3 linked regions of the Oreochromis niloticus genome follow. The protein of the gene in region 3 purifies or fractionates together with the protein of the main gene of each other region. This does not show direct contact. Links are inferred from orthologs where the notes say so. Each region holds a gene or a part of one and is shown on either strand. Other genes may lie near its edges. The genes, in order: exoc3, exoc6 and exoc2.

Region 1 (8,365 bases), on a different chromosome or scaffold from region 3:
GAACAAGTTTGCTCTTAAAGTTAACTCCATCCTGGGAGAGTGAATCTTAAGCTGCTTCTGCTCAGCTCTGCAGAGAATTATTATTTCGTTTTCATATGTCCCTATTTTCAGTGATATCAACCATAATAGCAGGAAATTGACAAAGCATGTAATTATTTTCTTTCTCTTCTTCTCACCATATTTCTCAAGTGAATTTCCTGGAGGAACCCACCCAAGGGATAAATAAAGTTTCATCTAATCTAAGTAACCTATATTTGACAACAGGATGTAATATTCACAAGTCAGAGCTGAAAATAAAACCACAAAAGATGAGACACAAAACTTTATTTCACAACTAACACTTTAAAAGGAGGATTTTAGACAAAGACTGAGGGAGGGCTGTCACGGTACTGGGTCGTGTGACCCAGTGTTTGAGTTTTATTGTATTTTGTTTTCTATTCGTGTTCTGCTTTGAGTTTAGTTTACCTTATTAAGTGCTACGATGCCTAGATTGCTGTGTTAGTCCTTTGCTTTGCAGATCCTTTTGTCTTCTCCCCTGTTCTAAGTCTCCCTGCTTCATTAATTTGTGACTGCCAAATTAATGTGTTAGAGCGATTTGCAAAAACTCCTGGTTGTGTTATGTGGGTTCAAGTATCAAGAGTTGGCCCTGAAAATCATGCTTTATGTCTCTGTGGTGCTGGTTAAATTTATGTCATGTCTGCATCTTGTAATGTTTCCTGTTTATTTGGAAGTCTTGTTTCCATGTTCTATGTACTTAGCTTTCACTTCCACTGAGGCGTCATTATGTTCATTCCAGTCAGCTGTTGTCCTCATGTGTCTCCACTTCCCCCGATCACCTCGTGTGTGTATTTAAGCCCTCAGTCTTCCTGTGTTCAGTGTGGTGTCGTCTGTGTTCCCTTCCCCATGTCTAGGTTTAGACTTCATAGTGTCCCTTCATGTTTTAGAGTATTTTCAGCGTTCATAGCTTTCACAGTCTCTCCAGTCTCGTAATAGTTTAGTCATAGTTTTCTTAGTCTGCGCTCTACCAGTTTGCTTACTTAATTTTTGTATGCTCTCTTATCAGCCCCAAATAAAGGCTGGTTTTTCGTTAAAGTAATTCCGTCTCCTCGTCAGTGTCCACACCTGAGTCCTCCACTCATTCTCCATTCGGTCTGCCTCCCGCAGACCGTGACAGTGGCGAGCTGTGTTCCCAGGGAGGACAAATCTGTCCACACCAGTATAAAGTAGGGTGACCATATTTTGATTTCCAAAAAAGAGGACACTTGGCCCAGTCATGAAGAACTTTAATAATACTGTTTGCTTAAAGAAAATTTTAACATATTTAAACGATGCCTTCTCTGTGCGGTTAATGAATGGTGAAACAAAAATGTCACATAGGCTTTTACAAGTCAACAAGGGAAAAAAAATAACTTAAAAACCTCTGAAATTAAATAATGGTACTGAAATAAGGGCTCATCTGTATAAGACAAATTACCAGTACAGGGACGGTATGAGGGAAATTTTGCAATTTGTCTGAAAAGCTGCATTTGTGCTTTGGCATCTTTTAAACATCACCAGGCCCGCTGCTGCGCGCTGTCTGTCCCGTCTGTGAGCACAGTGGCAGAACAACAACTCACAAAGCTGCAGCTCGAGGATGACGTCACACATATGGGTCCTCTGTAGGAAAACCCGGACATTTTCATCAATCTCGAAAATCCCCCCGGACGCCCTGGAGAGAACGTGAAAAGTGGACATGTCAGGGGAAAAGAGGATGGTTGGTCACCACACTTAACAGGGGATCTATACACTGCAAATGACCACATGTAAATTAATGACACGGCACTCCATAAAACTAAGATGGGACCCCTAATTACAACTCCCTGCCTAGTTTGGGATGCACTGCATCTAGTGCTCACCTTCCTCATCTTCTCAAGCTCCTCTTTGAGCCCTTGGTACTTCTCCAGCTTCTCGTGTTCATTCTTCCTGATGTTGCTGTCACTTAGTATCACTACATCGATAACTGTAGCGTCTTCTTCCGCTTGTCCACCACCACTATATCCTGTTGGTTAGGTGACATCACCAGACAGGTGATGTTGGTTAGCCACCATTTTGTCCGTCTACGCCTCTGGTATTCTTGCCAGTTCAGCTAACCAACAGGATATAGTGGTGGTGGTGCCTGTTCATCTTAGTTGCTATGATGCCCGACAAGAGCTTCCATGTGATACTGAGGCAGGTTATTGGATGGGACTGACCCCTCCTGGAGTCCCTGAGGATCAGCACCATCCGGCTGTCGGTTAGTCATGACTCATTTCGGGTGTCTTTCGCCGACTAGCAGATGGTTCATTTGTGCTGCCAGATGCTTATGGAGTGCAACCTTCTTAAGCCGTGAACCATGTCATGGCCTGGTGATGTCCAACTCTTCATACTGGAGGCCTACTCTTGGATGTCTGCCACTGTAATGGTTACTGGACCCTATTCAGGGAGGTTGCTGTGGTCTGATCTAAAATTCACTAGCCACTGAGCATTGCTGTTATGGACTGTGTCCTTCTCCCAAATGCTCTTTCAGTATTGCTCAATCTCCGGCCTTGGTGGTGCTGTTCTGGCTGCCCAGCCGGGGCAAGCCGCTCTCATCTGCCCTTTCTGGTGATATCAGCTCTAGCCTGACTGGTGATGTCAGCAAACTGCTGGACTGTGGTTTTAAAAACGGAGCTTTATGATGAACAGTGGTAATAAAAATCGAGAGAGGCCGACAGTGATACTTACTGTTGCCTTACTGTTTTTAGGGGCTCGTGGAGATTAAATAGAGCAAGATACAAAGCATTAAAACTTGTTAAGAACACAACAGCCTTAATAAACGCAGAGTCGTTCGGGCTCTGAAGTAGGGTTCACCACGTCATCACTTAAAGACCGGATAGCAACCAGGCTCACACCTGCCTCCTTAATAAGCTCTGTTTGTCAATCTCCCAAGATTACTCTTAAAGACTTCTGTTTCAACAGCCGCTGTGTGCGCAGTGTTTGCTCCACAGCCATCATTTAAACCTCAAAACATAGCCATTGTTGTTCTCTTTCCAACAGTGTGTCTTTCAAAGGTCAGAGATGTAAACTTTTTGAACTGTGTGGATCCAAGTAGAGAGATAACCTTCTAACCCATAGAAAAATATTTTATTTTCACTCAGGAGTTTGTCTCAACAGCAGAAAAGACCTCACGTTTTTAAATCACTTCTGTGACCACGTTCTTTGACAGCAGGAACATAAAGAACACACTGTTGTGTAGAACTAGTCGTCGGGATCCTCACGGTTCAAAGGCTGTTTTGATAGGAGTTACGGTCTTGGATTTAGATGCAGTTTTTCAACAGGTGCAGTAAGGCAGATTTGACAGGGTTTTGCCACAGAATAATAGTATGTCAGTAGTTAGTGCAATGTTAGTCAACTCCAGGCCTCGAGGGCCGGTGTCCTACAGGTTTTAGATGTGTCCTTGATCCAACACAGCTGATTCAAATGGCTAAATGACTTCCTCAAGATATCTTGTAGTTCTCCAGAGGCCTGGTAATGAACTAATCATTTGATTCAGCTGTGTTGACCCAGGGTGAGATCTAAAACCTGCAGGACACCGGCCCTCAAGGCCTGGAGTTGCCCACCCCTGGGTTAGTGCATGCCAGCTGGATAGAGCATTCTGATTGGCCCGTTAAATTCAAGCTTATTGTTCATTGGTGGATTTCTCTTCTGCACACAGGTGGTTCAGATCTGGGCTGCTGGAGTCACTTGATGACTTTTAGAATCATCTTTTCTGACTGAATGGTTAAAACTTACAGCATTTACCTGTCTGTAGTGAATTCTCCCACATTTCAGTTATTCAGTGATTCAAAGAATATGAACTTTTAATATTCATTCAGATGTTTTCTGACTCTAAATTTTCTTTTGTCATTTCTCAGCTTTTTAATTTACATCTTAAACATGTTCAGCTACTTCTTTGTGGTTGTCAGCTCTCAACAGTTCTGCACTTTTCTTTTCAGGTGAAAAATTCCGCATTTTTCAGCTCATTCAACATTTTTAACTTAACATTCAGCAGTTATTTCATTTCAGCTCAAAACATTCAGCTATCAGCATTCACACTGCAGTTTCTTCAGAAAATGTGTTTCCTACTTTTTTCATTGATTTGTTGTGGTGTGTTTAGTTGCCTTGTACAGCACGTCAAAGTTGTGCTTTTAAATCGTGCTCTACTTGGATTGAATTACACATAAAAAATGTGCAACCAAAAACTGTTTTTGTTCAGCTTTAATAAAATAAAAAATAAAAAAATACAACACAAACACAAAATGAAGGAGAGATGACAAAAACAGTGGGAGAAAGAAAGGACAGGATGGTGGATTTATAAAATCCAAAGAAAACTGGAGAAATGAAAACTACAGGATGGAGGAGAAAAAAAACAATCATCACATCTCAGATTTCGGCACACTGGGCTAAACGGCACACTATTCATTTTAGGGAAACATTGCAATGAAAAATGTGAGTATTGATGAGACAATAGAGAATGTTATATTACACTGTATGAGGAAGAAGCAAGACAACTGATTGAAAGCCTGAATTGATTTAAACTTAAACTAGATTTAAATGATTTACTTAGAAATAAATGAGGAAGCAAAAGTTACCAGGCCATATTTAATTGTCTTAGACAAACGCATTTGTATGACATTCCGATCCACACTCCAAACCAGTTGGTGGCGGTATTCACCAATTCGTTGTTTGTCAACAGCCAATAAACACCAAGAAGAAGAAGCAGCAGGCGTCTCCTGCGCTGCTGGAAGCAGGAAGTTGAACAACGACAACAAAGGCTGTGTTAGTTGAAATAATAATATATTTAATACTGGTAGATATGGTTGTTGTCTTCCCTCTGGGTTTGCCTTAAGTGAGGTAAGTTTCCGGGTCTGAAGAACTAGCTTGTTTTATTGTCGCTGACACTGGGTCGTTTTCGCCTGTTGTTAGCTTAGCATGCATTTACTACGTTGGATCATCTGTTTTCATTTCAACGTTAGAGTTGATTTATATACTTGATCCAGTCACGACTGTGTTCGAATGTGGTGCTATAGCTGTCAGTGCAAAAACAACACTAGCTTTTATTGTGTTGCATTAACGTTACGCGGGGCATTAGGACCACAGAAGCCATTTAACTGTGTCTGCCAATGAAGTACTGTCAAGAAGACAAAGGCTGTGCCAGAGTCATTTGGAAATGACTTTCTGTCCCTGCGACAGAGCTGCCCAGGGTTTAGTCCGCTTCTTGCTCTGTGACAGCTCCAGCGCCCCTTCGTCCGAATGGGATAACCGGAAGAAAATAATGGACGTGACATTCACGTGCATGTGATGTGTCAGGATTAGACATTACCTTCAATAATTGCACAGCATTATTGGTTTTATAAACAGGACCTTGGAAAGATGTATGTGCCTTCACAAGTGGAATACCATCTTAGAGCCGCAGCATACAGTCCCCAACACCAGTGGCTGACTACCTTCCTTTTATCTCGCAAATCCTTGAAAAAGTAGTTGTTAAACAGCTAACTGATCATCTGCAGAGGAATGGCTTATTTGAAGAGTTTCAGTCAGGTTTCAGAGCTCATCACAGCACAGTATCCTTCTCTAACAGAATTAGAGAAGGATACAAATGATCTTCTTATGGCCTACAGCGTTCAAAATTTTATCACAGTGATAAGAGCATGTTGTAGATCAAATTGAATTAAGTTGAATTGAATTACTGGCACAAGATGGTGCTAAACATGTTCTAAAAAACTTACTTCTTAAATCCAGCTTCACAGACAGTGTGAAAATTTATGCCAGTTTTTAGAGTTGGGCTTTATAGTGTAAATTAGCCTTTATACACGTAGGGTTTCATGTCCACATTAATCAAGGTATCTAAAGCAGTCATGAGTGCTAAAGTTTGTAAAGCAAAGCATTGCATTGAATAAATGGTTAAATGTGTTTTAGAAAAGCACTACATAAAGATCAACCCTTTCGATATTTTTCTCTTTAAGCAGGTCCTTGTGTGGAAACCTTTGGACACACCTGACACCTTATTTCCTGAGCAGGACAATGGAGGAAACAAGCAGGGAGGCAGTTGCCACTGCAGTGCAGCGTGTGGCAGGGATGCTGCAGAGGTCAGACCAGCTGGATAAAGTGGAGCAATACAGAAGACGAGAGGCCCGTAAAAAGGCGTCAGTGGAAGCGCGGCTCAAGGTGATGTGTTTCATCTGTGTGTACTATTATTGTTTTCTTAGCATTGTCTAGTATTTGTATTTAATAACAGCTAAGATAAAGGTATGCTTTTTTTATAGCGACTGTATTAATTATTAATCTACACAGTAAATGGATACACGGTAAACAAGAAAGCAAAGCATTTGTATATAGCACAACGTTATTAAGTCACAGTAATTCAACAATGATACTGAACATGAATCTGTTTCCTGATGGTCCTTGATGTTCTTCAGGCAGCCATTCAGTCCCAGTTGGATGGTGTTCGGACTGGACTGACCCAGCTGCACAGTGCTCTGCTAGATGTCAAAGATATCCAGAGCTCATTGGCTGATGTGAGTAAAGACTGGAGGCAGAGCATTAACACCATTGAAAACCTAAAAGACGTCAAGGATGCTGTAGTTCAGCACAGCCAGTTGGCTGCTGCTGTGGAAAACCTAAAAAATATCTTCTCTGGTAAGTTTAGCTAAACCTAAAAACTTCAATCTAAAAGATGCCAACAACATCCCGTTACTATAGAAACCTTATCTGCTCTTGGTTTTTACAGCCATGGGTGTCTTTTTCCTTTGCTTTGTGTATAGTGCCAGAGATAGTGGGAGAGACACAGCAGCTGATAGAACAGGCAGAGCTGCTGCAGGCCCACAGGAAGCTGATGGAGCTGGAGTGTTCACGTGATGACCTCATGTATGAGCAGTACCGTATGGACAGCAAGAACACCAGTGACATGAATCTCATTTCCATCTACTTTGAAGATGTAAGCGAACATAGCAAAGTTGATGTAGAGAGTTGGACCAGTGGCAGCCGTCCCCCTAAAAATGTTGTTGGAATAAAATCCATCACAAAATACAAAAAAACGTCATAAATAAGTACAGTTTGCTCAGACTACATGTGTGGTTGCGCACACGTGCCTGCTAGAATACATTTTGTGGTCAAACTCCATTACATTGTGCTTAAAGTTCATGCAAATAATATGCATGTATTCACTTCCTTGTACAGGAAATGAATACATGCAAAGCGGAGTTCCAGTTGGCGCTTGGAATTCTCCTCTTGGGTTACAAGTTTGTGCACCCCTGGTCAACTGGCATAGATTACCTGCCTTGTTTAAGAATTTCATTGGACAAGTCAGTGTCAGTCACACATGGTCACAGCACAGGTACTTTTGTCATTTGAAAACTTGGCATTGAAAAGGCATAAAAGAGCTACATCTGAAAAAAGTGAATAAAAATCTCAGATTGTTAGATACTAGCAGATACTAAGTGCTTAAAAAAATACAGTTTATGATTAAAAAAGTTTGACCTGGCTTCATGAAGTGACACCAGTTCCTTAAACCTGCATTCATTCTTTTTGTTTTTAACCAGACCAAAAAACTCCCGTGATTAAGAATATAGCCTGGTTCAACATTAGTAGTTGTACAGAAGCCTCTCAAAAAGCTTTCGCTCTCTCTGTTCTCTTCCAGGTTCAGGGACTGTCAGACGAGCTGGCTAAACAATTATGGATGGTACTGCAGCGGTCCATGGTAACAGTTCGTCGTGACCCCACCATGCTGGTGTCAGTAGTTCGTATCATTGAGCGGGAGGAGAAGATTGATCGGCGTATGGTTGACCGAAAAAAGCAGACTGGGTTCATCCCGCCTGGGCGACCCAAAAAGTGGAAAGAAAAGATGTTTGAGGTCAGAACAGAATAATACTTTGTAACTACTGAGAGAAAAATCAACAGAAACAATTTCAAAGGGTCTGAAAACTCTCCACATCTTTATTTTTTTTAAGTACCTGCCACCTCTTCCTTCTTCTTCTTAAATCATATCAGTCAATCATGTGTTTGTGTGTACTTATCCAAAACTTGTTTACATTTAATTTGCCTGTAAATTTACCTTTGCTTTTATCTTCGCTATTTTCATAAAATATTTCAGTCTTTGTATTTCTGACCATATGGTTAGTATTCTGTCAGCTGCAGGACTGGTGTATTACGGAGACCTCTTTGACTCATTTAAACCTATGTTTGCAGTCATGGTTGACACAGCCTCAAAGCCAGTGAGCATTTATGAAGCCTTTGGTGCATTTCTGTTGCAGGTGTTGGAGGGTACAGTCAGCACCCGCATTGAGGGCACACAAGCAGTCACAAGAGAGGCTGATAAAATGTGGCTGGT
Region 2 (8,504 bases), on a different chromosome or scaffold from region 3:
TGGTTTATTTTTAGTATGGTTTTTGCAATTGGTGTTTGTTCTGGGACAGATGCTGCAGACTGAGCACCAATGCATTTCTTGTGATGCAGAGATTTCTCATGAGTTCTGATGGGGTCTTTCCTAAAATTACTGGTCCCAGTAACAAAGGTGCTTGTCGACTCAGAAATCGAGGGAAACTCACGACACACCCGGCAGGACATCATGTTATTTAGCTCGTCATATTCCAGCCACAGAAATTCTTTTGTCCATGAAACCAAAAAACTGCGCTTTCTTTTTGCCTCGTAGTCTGATTTGTCGTAACTTTTCCGCTTTGTGGTCGGCCTTTCTTTGCCTGTCCCTTCTTCATCCTGACCTGTCTTTTTTGGCTCAGCAGAACTAAAATACCTGCGTAAATCCATCTGTCTTTACACATGCCAGTGATTTTTTTTTTTTAAATTCTCTGCGCAATCAACCTCTAGCACGTTTAAGCTTGCTGCGGGAGATTTCACTTGCCACGTTTGAAGAGTAAGCTAGTAAGTGATGTTGTGTCCTGTCTGACTATACCATATTGCACCACTAGAGGGTGTTGTCATCAAATAAGAGGAAAGTGCAGTCGGGAAACTGTAGAGTTAGCCGTCTTAACTATATTCTAACTGATAACTCGATGCGTCTCCGTTACCTCTACGATGTAAAGTTATGTGCTGCATTCATTAAAGAGCACTGTTCTTTGATGAGGACTGGTTTATTACCTGTCGCTGCTACAAATGATAACAGGATTGCCGAGGAATTGGTGCGCAATTAATCGTCACTCACCAATCAATACTGCCACTCTCTATACACAGTTTGCGCGATCGCAAAGTGAAACTGAAGGTAAAAAACAAGCGCAAATTCAAATGCGATTTCAATACGGCAGATATTGACAGAGGCTCATCGATGCCAATGACATAATTACTCAGCTACATTTGCGAAAGAAAGCAAAGGCATTGACATATATTTTCCCTTCCTATGATAGCCCGACGGGCAGGGCTGAGATAGATTTTGGTAGCCCGACTGGAAATATCGCTAGCCCCGGGACGTCGGGCTAGCGATTTTGCGAGCCCTGCAACCACTGATCCAACCACAGGCATTTCTGGATCTAACATTTGTTTTTGGTGCATTCACACATAAGTTCATGCTTTTGAAGTCAACATGTATGTGAGGGAGCAGCTACACTGATCAATACTGAACTCATAAGGGGAAAAATAGACAGCAGGCATTTTTGGCCGTTGGCTTGATTTTAGTTTCGGGTTTAATGAAAGTATGATTTGCAGAGATGACAGTTTATTCCCTCAACTTTTTCATCCATCCATTCCCTTCCGCTTCTCCTTTTCAGGGTCGCGGGGGGGCGCTGGAGCCTTTCCCAGTTGTCTTAGGGCAAGAGGTAGGGTACACCCTGGACAGGTCGGCAGTCTGTCGCTATCCCCACTCAACTTTCTATTACATCTATTGTTTTGGTGGATTAAAGAACGCTGTGTTAATGAGGACATTACTAAGAATGCAGGAGTCAAGCCATTTTACACAAACTAGACTAAACATGTTAGTAAAATTATTAAGATTTATCTGTGTTTTTGGTTGAATTCAGCAAAATTTTTCATTGTGGCTTGTTTACACTGGCAGATTTGTACAGTTCATCTTCTCTCCTGTGTTTCTGAAAGTGGGACATTACTTCCCCAGTATCTATTTTGTATTCTTTGTATTTCACTTGCACAGTATGTATTATGGAGGGTGACCAGTGCTGCCTTAATGGTTAGCGTGTTTGCCCCCCTGCTTCACAAAAATGGTCTTGGTTATTGGCAATCTCAAGCAGGATAACAGAATAATTAAATTATGGACATGACGTCCAACACTAGACCCATAGTGCTCTGAAAAGCGACGTGCCCTGCCTCCTAGGAGCAAATGCACTCCAAAACAAGTGAATCTATGCTAGAACAAAAGAAGAAGACCTTGTGAGGATGCTGAAGGAAACAGGTACAAATCTTTCATTGAAACAAATATGCCAACATAACCTGCATTCCTCAGCAAGGTCAGATTGCAGTCTACAAAAAAAGACATAGTGAGGACATGTCTTTGCCTAAGTCCTCTGGTTTATCCTTAATTACTGTTGTAAAGAATGAAGCTACAAGGACAATGCTTTCAGGCTGGCACAGGTCTAATGGTGATTTATAAGACTGAACATGAGTGCCAAGTGGTAATGTTAATACTGGAGTAACTGACTCGCTGTTACCATCATGAAAAGATAAGTCAGTCCACCACACAACACCCAGTGTTTATAACTCTGTCCCCTGAGCCATATAATAGTCCACACCCAGGAAAGGCCTGTGCACTGCACTAGAGCTGCATTTGGAAAAGAAGAGCACGTTACTATCCAGGAAATATTTACTAATATTAGCTATAAGAAAAATTCAGTTTTTAGCCTGACCCTTTCAATTAGTTTTCTTATTATTAGTAAGCTCTACAGTAAGCAAAGCAAACCCCTATGATCACTGACAGCACGTCACTGTCATTTTACAACACCCGACCAAGCTGCCTAGTGATGAAGAAAAGACAGCGTCACCGTAGAATAAGAGATGAAGACACACGCTGAGAAAGCTAGATAGCATTGTTACCTGGAGGGTATGAGAAACAACCATGGCCTACAGGCACGTCTACAGGACAGGTGTGACAGGTGGAAGCATTCAACTAATGTCATTCACTGTGGCCTCGGAAGCTACTTCAGGCATCTAATTGCCTGAAATAACCAGTGCGGTGTGTTAAGGAACGTCAGGCTGAGCAAACCGGTGTTCCAGAACACCGGCATCCTCTGTCACTACCAATTCTGTCGCCAGAATAACACAACACCACAGGATCAGTATTCTTATCCGCTCGTAGCATTCGTTTTATTTTAGCTAACAACTACCCAAAATCGTTACCTGTTAGCCGTTAGCTAACTCAAGCTGCACAACGACGTAAGGATGTGAAGTCCCACAGCCACACCCACAAATGATGTTGACATTTTTGACAGGTCACTAGTCATCCATCCTTACACATAACCTAAAAAATGACCACACAGTCACCGCTGCTAACACGACAGCTAGCCTCATTCCTCATTTCAACACTATCTAGACTGTTGGCTAAAATAGCCAGCGCTAGCCTGCTACTGGGTAAGGCTAAGCTAGGTCTTAAACAAAAGGTGTGATCATGTAATACACAGTGAAAAACAGAGGACCTATATCGCTAAGGGCATTTTTAGAAGCTATATATCCTTACCGAAGAGTAGGACCGACACAAGCTGTGTCGGTGCTTTCAATTTCCTGTAAAATCCGCTCGTGCTCCGTTATGCACTCCAGGGTTTCACTGTCCGCCATGATTGTTATGTGCATATTACGGCTATCACTGCAGCTACAGCGGAGCATAGGTCAGTGTGAGGTCCGGCCTGTGGGAGGCGCACTACGGTCGTCTTGACCTCGGCGATTGCGGCTTTGTTTCCGCATAGCCTGTGCCTGGTTCCTCAACCACATGGAAAACCACACGGGTTTTGACTGTTTATGATCTTATCATAAATACTGTATAGCGAGTGGTTTGCATGGTTAGCAGTAAAAAAACAGGAAAATAATTTGTACTGTCATTCAAACGGTACTTGCAATAATAAAGATGCCTGCTATCAAATGAGCTTTAGTGGCTTTTATTTGATTAATCTCAGTTCTGCTGTAGATACATTTTAAATAACAACATACAGAGGAGGTTATTTAAATCTTTATGGTGTGCAAGTTTTTTATTTGTTTGTTTGTTTTTGTTTTGTTACATCAAGATACAATTCTGGTTAAAGCCTGACAAATAATTCACACTGACGCACACTGACGTTAATAATACTAACCCTTTTTCACATTAAATGCTTCTGTAATTGAACTCACAGTTTAATCAAATCAAACGCAGTTTGCATGTGTCCGCTAGCTTCTAAGTGCGTTTTTTTTTCCTGCTCTTGGTATTGAGATAAACCAGCGTTTTAAATGTTGTAATTCAGCTAAATCAGTCCACCTTCAGTTGTGTTCAGCAGATGAATCTTGGGTGTGTCTTGGAGTTTACCTTAAGGTGGTTCCAAGAGGTAAGTCCACAGATTCCAACTCTGCAAAAATATTCCCAAAAGCCTTCTTTTCTTCTTCTTTGCCTTCTCCTTCGCTTTGACCAGGCGGGTCAGGTAAAGCAGCATAGATCCTGTCACTAGCCATTCTCTCTTAGTGAAGTATGTCTTAAGTATGAAGACTAAAAATCTGTACGTGTAAGAGAGGATATTTTGTGTGTGTGTGTGTGTGTGTGTGTGTGTGGAGTCGTGCAGGACACCTGCTGTGGTCAGCAGAAAAAAAGGGTGCAACAGGAAAAAGAGACCTTGTGATTCACTGAACTTTGAAGCCAACAAAGCTAATTTCAGCTGTTCTGTGTTAGTAACTGTGGCTTTTATTCACCTCTGAAAATTAAAAAGACAGTCATCAAGCTACAGTTGATGTTGCAGATACAGGGCCTGATTTCTTAGTTAGTTGTCACACTTGTATACTGATCAAAATGTAATATTATAAAGCTTGAGGAAATACAAAACTACAAAATGCAGTTTGATGATGATTTTAGTTGTTAAGGAAAAAAAATCTCTCCAAACCTCCCTGGCCTGATGTGACAAAGTCATTTTGCCTAATAATAACTGTTGTATTAATAATATAATTAGTAATAATATCCATGAGGGATAACCACTTGTTCAGTGACCTGTAAACCACAGAGCTCCCTTTTCTGTCAGTTTGTTCAGTCTGTTGTTGTCAGCAGCTCCACCAGCAGACTCTCCACAACTAACTGATAGAAAAACTTCTCCAATATCTGCTGTGCATGTTAAAGGATTTCAGTTTCTTTGGGAAAGATAGACTTCCAGTTCAGCCTGGCTTCAGAGTGCAGAGGTGGCAAAAGTACCTAAGGAGAAATACACAGACTTGATTCAACTTCTTTACTGAAGATTACTTAAGATTAAAAATGATGACATCTCATCTTTAAATCTGCAGTTTATCAAGTGTCACGAGCAGTCATTACCTTTGAATATAACCTCTCTTATTCCGCTCCTCTCATGTCTTTTCTTACATTTTCTCCATATATGAATGAAATTTGCTCTCATTTCTCTCCCTGGAAATCCAACATCTGGACCTTTAGCAACACACTTTGTGACAAACTGCACATGAACAGTTTGTGTGTTTGCTGATGTTTGTTGAGCTGATAGAAACATTGTACAAATGTCAAACATAACAAATGTTATGCCGTACAGAGACATTACAGCCTGGACTCATTCCTCTTCCGTAGCGCTAGCTAGAAGCTGGCTACAACATACCTGCACTTGTTCCAGCCCACTTTAACCACTGAGTATAAACACTAGACGATACCGCTGAGCCTAAAGTAACTAGCCTGTTTTGAAAATTTAAGGAGTAGAAAGTACTAATATTTGTGTTAAAATGCAGGGAGTAATAGTGAAAGGCTGTCAAAAAAAATAACTAGTAAGTAAGTATTTCCAGTAAAGTACAGATACCTGAAAATACCTGAGAAGTATTTGTACTTTGTTACTTTCTGACTCAGTCAATGTGGATGTCCAGGTACTTTTACTCCTCCACCACATTAATATTATGTCTCAACACAGACACAGTGTATGTGTCCTCTTCCCTCACAGTTCCTCTGGTTTTATTCACATTCAGATGATTTCTGTCAGGCCACTTCACAAAAAAATCCACTAGTGTTCTGTAGTTACCCTGGATGTCAATTATGATCAGGTGCAGTGTGACGTGGCTGGTAGGATAAGGTGGGAGGCTGGGCATGTGGACGCCCAATATCGCAGAATGGCATTTGGGATGTGAGCTGGAGCACTACTGACTAGATATAGTTTGTCTCACCTCCACAGGTACCAAGGGTTTTGGAACAAAAGTCTGGCAGATGGGACTCTGGATTTGTCCTTTTCTGGAGTATCCAATGGTGTTAGGTGCTGAGGGGATGCTTTCAGACCTCTGTCCTACACACGGGTTGACAGACTGTAACATTTGATCTGAGGCTGTGGACACTTGGGTAAAGAGAGCTCCCTGTTGGCCACACGACAGGTTTAGATGAAAGTCACCCTGAGATGCTAAAGGCTCTGGACACTGCCTTGGTTGACATACGTCTTTAATGATACGTGGAGGTCTGGCACAGTGCCTGTGGACTGGCAAACCAGGATGGTGATTCCCATTTTCAAAAAGGGGGACCGGAGAGTGAGCTCCAGTGGTCAGGGTATTACATTTGTTCCAGGAAAGGAGGTCAGTTGTTGAAACTTGGACCCAGAAGCAGCAAAGCAGGTTCTGTCCTGGCTGTCGAACCCTTGTGGGACATCTGGAGGGATAACAGGAGTTTGACCATCCAATCTATGCGTGTTTTGTGGATTTGGAGAAGATTTTCCTGGGGGTACCTGTGGGTGTTTTGGGGTCCAGCACACTGCTATGGGACATCAGGTCCCTGTAAAACTGAAGTGCAAAGTCCTGTTTTTGATTTTTCATGGACGGCATCTCAAGGAGCTTCCAGGGTGACGAGGGCGTCTGCTCTGAGAGTCTCAGAATAGCAACCTTGCTTGTTGCGGATGACATGGCTCGTTTGGCTTCATCAGAATGTGACCTTCAGTACTCACTGGAGTGGTTTGCAGCCTCACCTGAGCCTGGTTCTGCCAGACGTTTCTTCCTGTTAAAAGCAAGTTTTTCCTTCCCACTGTCGCCAAAGTGCCTGATCATAGGGGGCCATCAAACTGTTAAGGTTTTCTCTTTTCTCTCTGTATTGTTACAGGGTCTTTATCTTACATTATAAAGCCCCTTGAATGAAATTGAATTGAATTAAATTCTGTTGACTACAGCCTATTTAACAATATAAGCAAAGGTCTTGCACATTAAAAACAACCTAAAACAAACAAACAAACAAACAAACATCACTGTTTTGGCCGATTGTCCCTTCTTTGCACTGCACTTGCAGGAGAGCAGCATGACTCCTAACACTGTGCATGCTTTTTTCTTTTTTTTAACTAAACTTGACGTGAGTATTTACTGAACCACAGTCTGACAGTTTGTCTGTTTACCACATATAACGTAAAGTCCAAAAACTTGTCAGACTCGCACACCGTTTAATTAATGTGATGGCAGTTAAGTGTGGCACACATACACCACACCACCTCTCTCCACAAGCAGTGGCGCTCTGGAAACCATGTGACCAATAAGAAATGAAAAACAAACACATGCAGGTTACAGGTGTGACACCTGTTAGGTTAAAGATAAAGAGCCTGTGTTAGATGTTAAGCTAGTCATTCCTCCCTGTGCATACATGAATCATAGTTTCCCCATAAAAATATATTTTGAATGTTTGCATTTGTTCACTCCTCAAATAGTATGGTTATAATTTTAAGCTTGCTTCTGTGGGTGATTGCACTTGACTATGGAGGCTTAAAAAAGCATGTATTTGGCATTACACACTGTGGAAACAGTACTCAACACTTCATCACAGTGATAATGTAGTTGGGCAAAATGAACGTTCTCAAATACTAATGTTACCTAAAACTACACAGTGTAAATGTAAATGACTACTGCATTCTATACAAATACAAGGAAGTGTGTGTGTGTGTGTGTGTGTGTGTGTGTGTGTGTGTGTGTGTGTGTGTGTGAGAGAGAGAGAGAATATTGTAATGTTTAAATGTACTATTTGATTGCAATAATAAAACTCAGCTCAAATGATTATGGTGTGTGGATAAACACATGGTGGCACAAAAGGTTACCATCTCTTCTTAATATTGTGGGCAAGGCAACAGGCCTCGGTCAGCTTACACAAGAACTTTCTATTTCCTGCTATTCTTCTTGGAATTGATTGGCCCATTAGGGCCAATGACATCTTTACAAAAGCTACAACTATGAGTTTCCTTATTACCCAACCAAAAACAAGTACTGGGTCACTCTCTCTCTCTCTCTCTCTCTCTCACACACACACACACACACACACACACACACACACACACCAGCAGTTGCAAAAAATGGCTTGATATTACACAATGGAAATGAAGAAAGCATACATAAACATTTAAGATGACAGACAAATGCAGCTTAAACTCTCTCTCTCTCACACACACGCACACACACTCTCTCTGTGACACAATAGCACTGATACTGTATTACTTTATGAGGCGTGTTTAATTTGAGTTTCTGGCATTAACACATTTTGAACACAGCAGGGAGAGACATCAGTGCACATCGCTAATCTGTGTGCAAAAGATCCCATTATATAAGACAACAGTATATATACTTCCAAATACTGGCAGCCAAAGACTTTCTTGACTTAAAACATTGTTTTTCCTTTGACAGTAAAGATGTACTTGTTGGTTTCCAGCACAGTTTCAGTGAAGTTTTTACATCTTTATCAAACTGAAATACTGACTTGTGTTCATAGACAAACAATCTTTGTGAACATTGACATGAAAAAACTTGAGT
Region 3 (7,983 bases):
ATCTTGAGGTCACAATGAAGCAGCCCGCCAAGCCCTGGATCCTCACTGTCGTTGATTTAGCAGCGGAAATGAAGACGTGTTATGAAATCATAGTTATGTGAGCCAACATGCTACACAATAAGTCCAGTTAATATTCACTGAGGCCAATGCAGTTCGTCCTCAGGGTGTTAAGACTTTACAGAAGGATCCATGGGATAGAAAGCCCATGTGTGGCATTAGAAGGCTCATTCAAGTTAAAACCCTCTCTTCCTTTCACACAGGGGAGCACAAGATTTAAGTTTATTCTCAGCGTTTTCTCCTGCGGTATTTTTAATCCATGATGTGTCCTTTAATTGCCTAATTTCTTTAATATCTTGAAGTAGGTCCCATACTGCTCCAAATACTCTCTGGAATTATTGACGTGCTCAGTTCTTTATGTTTTACAACATTTTTAAAAATCTTTCATGCTGTCAGTATTTCACATTTGGGTCAGTTATTAATTTACACTGGTTTGTACTAGAGGAAATATACTTGCAGGTGTCTTTTTTTTCCCCCCCCAAAAAATGTTTAAAAATATCTAAACTGATACAGTAAAACACATGCTGATGATTAAACTGAACAAGGTTGAGTGAGAATATTTAAGTCTTTAAAAAGAAATGCTTTGCAATAAGATATCATTTTACATTTGAATTAATAGCTACAATAAAACCCCGCCGAAGGATAAAAAGATGGCAGCATTAAACTGTATAAATATTCAAATTAAAACATCTGACCTACAACAACAGAAAGCAGAGCTGGAGCACATCACATCAGCCTGCTGAGTGTATGATTTTTTAGAATGTCCTCTTGATTGCAATTGGCATTGGCCCATCCTGCACACAAATAACCCCGAGCTGTAACCAAGTCCACCTGTTCGTAAACACAAACAGTTATGAACGCACTCCAGCCAGTCACATCTCATCAGAAACAGAACACAAAGTGCAGCATGCATCGACGGCTTCAGCTTGCCCCCGTGGATGAAAGCTGTTTCCCCTCAGTGCTGTGATGCTCAAACGAGGAGGGGCTGGTGTACAACAGTCAAAAAAACCCCCCCAAAAAACCCAAAACAAAAGAGGTGGTATTACACAACAAACTATTTGTGAAGTAAATGTTTCTAGTTTGTTTTTACCATCCATGAGGATTTTTCATTTTACTCTTGTAGGCTCCCCCTAGTTCTCAGAGCTGATCTGGACTGTGCCTCCAGAGACACAGTAGCCTGTTGTCTGGCCTGGGGGGAAGGGGGGGGTTGAAGGAGCGTTGTTATGAGAAGGCAAGGAACATGTTATGTTAACCTGGGTGGTAAAAGCCCAAGAATATTTGGGAAAATGCCCCTTTATACCTTCTCACACCCACCGTTTTCGGCCAAATTCTCCTGTAGTCTTTATGTCTTGGTTCCAAATTTCTAAAACTTATGGTATTTAGCCGTAGCTATCCTGCAATTATATTTAATTTGGTCGCTAATGAAAACATCATCAGAAATTTATTTCCAAAGAAACAATTGCCCTGCATGGATAGTGACAAGGTTTTGCTGAGGAAATGTACCCCAAGCCTAACAGTGAACTTTTCTGAACTCATCACAAATGTCTTTAATAACATAATAACATTCATAACATTCATAGGGCCAAAAGTAGAGTGCCCACTAGTGATGACCCTTTAAGCTGATGGAACAGAAATCATTAGCTGTGCAGTCATTGACAGTGTTGAGCAGTGTGTCAGCACTCAGACTGAAAGGCTCTCTGTTCCCCTCAAATCTCATTTTTGTATTGTGTTCATCTGGATGCTTTTCCAAGCTAAGCCTGGCACAGGCCTGGATTTCCGGAGACCAAAATGTGAGCCCAGGGAACTGGGCTCCTTCAGAAAAAGGGGGGAGATAGAGCACCACTCAGAAGCCAAACAAACCCAGAAATCAGAGGTTTATTTAATATCCCCTGTCTTATATTAACAGCGGTGCTACAGGCTAACCCTGACCCATGTGGGGTTCCAAAACTTCACTTAATTTCCTTTGGAATACATATTTTGTGTTTATTTTGAGATCCATAATATGGGCACAGGTTGGACTGATATATGGTCATTAAAAACATATTATTAGTATTTAATGCTATGAAACAGACTAAAAAGTAGCTTTGGGACAGATAGAAGACTTTTTTGTTTGCTCAGTTTTTGTTTTAGTAAGCAAATGGAATTGCATGTACTGTAGATACTATACCATAGTATAGTATCTACAGTATAGCAGCACAGGTTATTATAATGTCAACACTGAGCATATGATCTCTGCAGTAATCTTTGACATTGAGGGATTCACACTTGTTTGATGTCATACAGTTGAAATGCCCTGTGCAGGAAGGAAGTGCTCACCCACTGGTCGTCTGTTCCATCTTCAGGAGCTCTATGGGAGGGCGGGAGGATTTCAGTGCAATATTTACAGTGACCTTTTCCTCTCACTGGCCAGGGGCCCATGGGAAAAAACTGGAGAAGACAAACAATGAACAATAGGGTTCGGGGATGAGCAATGGTGCCAGCGCAGCATGTGCCATTGCGAGATGTAGATTACAGAAGGTTAGGGGGTCAAAGCAAGGATGAGGGCACCAATCGTCTCCCTCAGGAGCACACCTGCTCAGAAAGCCTGCACTATTTAAAAACGCAACATGCAATCGCGTGTTCCTCACTAAATAAATCATTTTGAATCGAGATTATATTTCTTTGAAACTTTGGGATATAGATGAGAAGATCAATAGGACATATATTCCCTGGTTGGGAAACCAGAAAGCCAGACTAGCTGTTTCCCCTCTCTTTCCAATTGTTATGCTAGGCACACACCACCATGTGCTGGCATGACCTTCATCTTTAACAGAGAGACAGGACAGTGGTCTTCTCATTTTATCACTGAGAAGGAAAAGTTTATTCCCCAAGATTGTGAAATGTTCCTTCAACTAAACATTTAGTGCAAAATTGTCAGTATATTAATGTACATATTAATTAATATGTACAAATGCACAACATTTATATTACAAAACATATATAATATATGTTCAATAATATAATAAAATATGTGATATATACTGCCACTTATTTCTGTATTCCCTGGGTGATATGTGTGATATACTGCTGATGTAGTCATTCATTGGCAAAGACTGTACCACTGAGACTGAGATCAAAATCTTCCACCATCATTGCTTTAAGTAGATGTTTATGTAGACAAACAGCCTCTGTGTTACATCAGCATCTGTGCAAACTCCCCAGTCACAGTTTGATCCCTCAATTATCAGATTAGTCAGTCTAATTGGACAATATGCTTTCCCTGGGGATTGGGCCTTGCCTTATCACAGAAATTCTTTCTGCCCTGCACAATTTGGTGAGATAAATGTAATGCCATCAGTGTTCTAGTGTGTGCCTGGGTGGTCTCTGTTGCATTTCTAATGATGCTGCGCCTTTCCCAGAACAAGTGGAAATACCTCAATGATGCACCGTGAAAAGAGAGATGAGGAAAGGAGCAAAGCTCCCAATGGGCTTCAAAATTCTCACACAATGGACAACCAACACTTCAGAAGAGCAGGCTGATTTTATTGCTGCATGGAGACTTAGATCCACCATGGATACATAATTACATTAAAACCTTGGTCAGCAAAGTTTTGTGTGTGTGTGTGTGTGTGTGTGTGTGTGTGTGTGTGTGTGTGTGCGTGTAATATAACTGCCTAATTAAGTTTCCACAGGTAATTAGGGTATCTGCTGAGAGACTAAAGTGGCTTTAGTGATCACGCTGTTTTCTTACATTGATCTTTTATTGTTTCGTGCATCGTTTTTTTAATTTATATAGCACATTTAATTACATCACCAACGTTGACCAAAGTGCTGTACAGAAATGCAAAATAACTAGTGCCAAAGAATTTAATTTATTTATTATTTATTTAATTTTAACATTTAAAAGGCCTGAAATGTATAAAACAAATAATTAAAGTTACTATGCTACAGAGTTTGTTTGAAGTTATGGAGATCGCCGAGTTAAACACATTTACCGTCAGAAATTGTAAATATGCATTTACAAAGTGATAAATACTAAAAAAAACAGGCACATTTACTAAGAACCCGAAAGTTTTAGGCACATATTTGATTACTTAAAATATCGATCACAAGCAAATTAACTGCATTACATACTTTATTTCGTTTTAGTTCATTTCGTTTTATTTTGAAGGCTGCATGAAAAACGGAAGACCGGAAATAGTTAAATGATACAGGAAACACCGCAGAAGGCAAGCGACTGTAAATTGTAAGTTAAATATTTCCCTTTATATCTTCTACTTTTTCTACCCCAAATAGCTCGCTATAATTATGCCATGTCATTTAGAAATCTAAGCCCTTTTTATGGTCATGACGAACGAGAATGACACCCTCTAACTCCAACATCATTCTAGCATAACAAATCCGGTTAATGGCAAACGCTAGCACAAGCTAACTGCAGCTGTCAAATTTCTCAGTAAAGCTTGTATTCTTTTTTCTAGTAAAACGAAAGAGCTATTTACTTATTGTAGCAGTTGGCTTTAACCTGTCTGACGAAAAAAAATAACTGGGAAATGGTCTATTTGTGTCATTCTGCAGTGTTAGAGATATTACGATTAGCTGTGCCAAACTCCGTTAAAATTTCTGTCTTATTAAAGTAAATTTGGTGTTGCGTTGTTTATGTAGTGATACACTTAGTGACGAAACTTCTTACTAGTAATCATTGACTTCTGGTAAATTCGGGAAGGTTATACTACGTTAATAGCTATAAAAATTCATCTTCTTGTCTTGCTTAGCTGTGACCCCTCCTTTGTTTTGTTTACTTTTCGATTAGTGCTGAATAACAGCTGGGTTGTTCATAAAGCAGATGCATTATTAAAATGAAAACCTATGTGATGCTCAAAGCATTAAATTGGCACTTCACTTGCCAGATGTTGTAATCCACAACGCTATATTCAACGGGTGCGGTTGTCTGCAAATATAGAAGATACATCAAGATTTCATATAGAAACCACCTTCTTTCTTACGTCGACCCCACCTTGCAACTAATCTCTTGGGTTTTTGTTTTATAAATAAATACATAAAATCTGCAATAGTGACTTCACATGCATTTGAAGTAGTAAGAAGTGATTGCTAGTGTGATGAAATTACACTTAAAACACCTTAGTGGCACTTGGAGAACGAAAAAGAAAAAACTTAGAGAGTGAAAACAAGAAAAAGAAGAAAAAAGAAACAAAGTGATTACACTCATTTACCTCATGTGACAGAGAAAGGCACTGACTGGAAAACAAACTGATAAGACTAAACATTAGTATATTTCAAATTAGGTAACTTGACTTGTTTTGGGGAATTAATTTGGTATGATTGTTACGTTCTCTCAGAATGCTCATTCAGTTCATGTGAGAATCATATTCCCTCATTACCCCTGCATGAATGGCACGCTTATCTTGGATGATTATGAGGTATAATTACATGGTAATGTGGCGCATCAAAGATAATCACTTCTTGTGGTTGAAGCTACAGTTAGTTCTGATTTAGGTCAGTGCACCTGTGATGTTTTTATGCATATTTTCTATCTAGTTAATGATTATTTACATTATTGATTTGTGTACCCATTACAGTTTTTATATTTGAGAGGGTGAAATCAGTGAATTTTTATTTGTTTCCTGAAATAGACCACAAACACACTAATTCTCGCTGAGTGAATTGTAAGATGAACTGATTTAAGTGGTTATATTATGAAAGCACATCTTGAATTTCAACAGCTAAGCAATTGCAACAATTTGACCCTTAACGGGAAAGCACATTGTTTTACTACAAGGCTGTAGTGCTGAAAATTCTCAACACTCGGGTCTGAATCAGTGCAGGATGTAACTGACCTACGATATGTTTAGCGTTTATTCCTAATGCTGCTCGTCTGTCACACTTCAGTTGCACTACAAAGTTACAAAGTGAAAAATCACGTTGTTCAGAATCACTTTTGTCATTCACCTCAAGATTCTTTAGCATAATGCTGCCTCAATGATGAGCACTGCTTCTTTTTGTTTTCTAAATATTCTAACCAGTCTATGTTAGTCAGAGATCAAGAAAGTGCATTTCAACATTTCAAGCTGTGGCTGCACATACAATCACTCCTAGTATATGTAAACAGTGAGATACAACTTAATATACATAAAGACCTCCCAGATATTATGTAAACGCTTCTCACTTCAGTCTCATTAAGTTTAGTGTTTTCAGACAGAACACAGTTTAAGCCTCTGTAATCCTTTTTCTTGTGTGCTTTTGTCTAATGTTGTTAGACGTACTTTCTTTAAATAGCTCTATCCCATGGAAGTGGTTCCTTACCATGTGTGTTAGTTTAACTGATTGATTGTATGACAGAGTGAATGAGAGCAATTTGATTGACAAGTCAACAGCAGGCTGGTGCCGTGTCATAGAAATAAGATGTCGATCATTCGAGTTGAGGTCCATGGTAGCAATTCTACAGTTAGAGCCTACAGAGCTCTGTGTATCACTTCTCTTTCTTTAGTCCAGAGTCAGCATTGGTGACAGGGGAAGGTGGGGGGTGGCTACACTGATCCATTTCCTGTCCCCTCCTGGGGCTCTAATTGAAAAATTTGGGTGGCCCTGTTGTTTGTTTTGGTGGAATGTGGTGGGCTGCGTTTTTTTTTTTTCTTTTTCTTTTTCTCTTTAGAATTTCCTGAGTGACGCAGCTCCGTAGACCTCGGGGTGAATCAAGTGATGGGGGCTGGGCAAGACTTTGTTTGTAGCAGCACTTTTCGCTTACCCCTTTCTGCTTTCTGCCCCACCTGGCATTACCCAGCCTACACACAGAGCTTGCTGGGCCACTGGTCTTCACTCCGGGGTTTCTGTGACCTTGTCAGATCTAGATAGGCAAAGGGGCTGTGGCCCCGTGAAAACAAACATGTCATAAGTTATGTCAACTCTTTTTTTAAATTAATTTGTTTTTTACATATTTTAATACAAAATGAATAGGTCAATGATTATTTGTTAGCTTGGTAATCATTTTTGTTGCCTGCCACTTTTTTTTTTTGGACTTTCATATATATTAGCTCTATGCTGATTGTTTGGGATTTTAATTTATTTTAGACCAAAACGATATAAACTCTTCTTAAACATCATATAAGACTCAACAGAGGTGAGTAACATTATTCTCTAGAAGGCAGATAAAATCCCAAAGGCTCTTTTATTGGAGAAGTGAACTGAAACCTGTTTACAGGTTACAATTATATCACAAAAAACCCAAACACTCAACAATGTATGAACATTTAAATGGCCTAAAATCATGCCAGTTGTCTGACATGTACACCAACACAGATCACAGATGGAATCACGTCATTCAGACTCGCTGCCGTCATTCACCTCAAGATTGCTTACTATATTGCTGCCTCGCTGATTTGTTTATTTTATGAGGTTTATTTTACTTTTTTTTTTTTTTAACTAGTACCAGCAGTCACCAAGTAGTAAAAGTAAAGTAAAATAAATGTTAGCTGCCCTGTATAATTGGTCAGTTTGGATGTTGTTTTGTTTGTTTGTCTGTTTGTTTGTTTTGTTTTGTTTTTTGACATTAACAAATACACTCCCCAGCTATTCTGACAAATGGGGTAAAAAGTTTAATGTGAGTTATGATTTGACAAACTTGTTATTATTATTATTATTATTAGTAGTAGTAGTAGTAGTAGTAGTAGTATTAGATTAGCTGCGTGATTTTATAAAATGAAGTCTCCTTTCTGTATTCACAAAACAGTAGAGAAATATATATTAATTTAAACATGGATTATCATCACAACATCATTTGCCCTAAATTCAAATACGAGAATGATGACTCAAAAACAGGAAATTGTTTTTAAAGAGTAAATATTGCATTTTTGAAACAAAACATTAGACTTATTTTATTTATTACATTAAATGAAATGCTACTATTTTGGGGAAAAAAAATACCCTAAATTG

What was found.
Region 1: the proteins of exoc2 (region 3) and exoc3 purify together in Homo sapiens (affinity purification with mass spectrometry; 6 studies listed by BioGRID and IntAct, counting the BioPlex papers as one, with this or other methods). This does not show direct contact. The link is inferred for Oreochromis niloticus from reciprocal best matches to the Homo sapiens genes EXOC2 and EXOC3.
Region 2: the proteins of exoc2 (region 3) and exoc6 purify together in Homo sapiens (affinity purification with mass spectrometry; 5 studies listed by BioGRID and IntAct, counting the BioPlex papers as one, with this or other methods). This does not show direct contact. The link is inferred for Oreochromis niloticus from reciprocal best matches to the Homo sapiens genes EXOC2 and EXOC6.

Annotation. Positions count from the first base shown.
Region 1 is NC_031982.2:272,061-280,425, forward strand, and holds the start of exoc3 (exocyst complex component 3), read left to right. Parts: upstream 1-4,728; 5' UTR 4,729-4,890; intron 4,891-6,002; 5' UTR 6,003-6,060; coding exon 6,061-6,204; intron 6,205-6,455; coding exon 6,456-6,675; intron 6,676-6,800; coding exon 6,801-6,973; intron 6,974-7,675; coding exon 7,676-7,888; intron 7,889-8,288; coding exon 8,289-8,365. UniProt on the Homo sapiens protein: Component of the exocyst complex involved in the docking of exocytic vesicles with fusion sites on the plasma membrane.
Region 2 is NC_031973.2:28,333,781-28,342,284, forward strand, and holds the start of exoc6 (exocyst complex component 6), read right to left. Parts: upstream 3,453-8,504; 5' UTR 3,411-3,452; coding exon 3,265-3,410; intron 3,254-3,264; exon of another isoform or gene 2,243-3,253; intron 1,462-2,242; exon of another isoform or gene 399-1,461; coding exon of another isoform or gene 1-398. Other genes in the region: zinc finger protein 862-like, read right to left, coding at 1-398. UniProt on the Homo sapiens protein: Component of the exocyst complex involved in the docking of exocytic vesicles with fusion sites on the plasma membrane.
Region 3 is NC_031981.2:27,116,743-27,124,725, reverse strand, and holds the start of exoc2 (exocyst complex component 2), read left to right. Parts: upstream 1-4,201; 5' UTR 4,202-4,282; intron 4,283-7,983. UniProt on the Homo sapiens protein: Component of the exocyst complex involved in the docking of exocytic vesicles with fusion sites on the plasma membrane.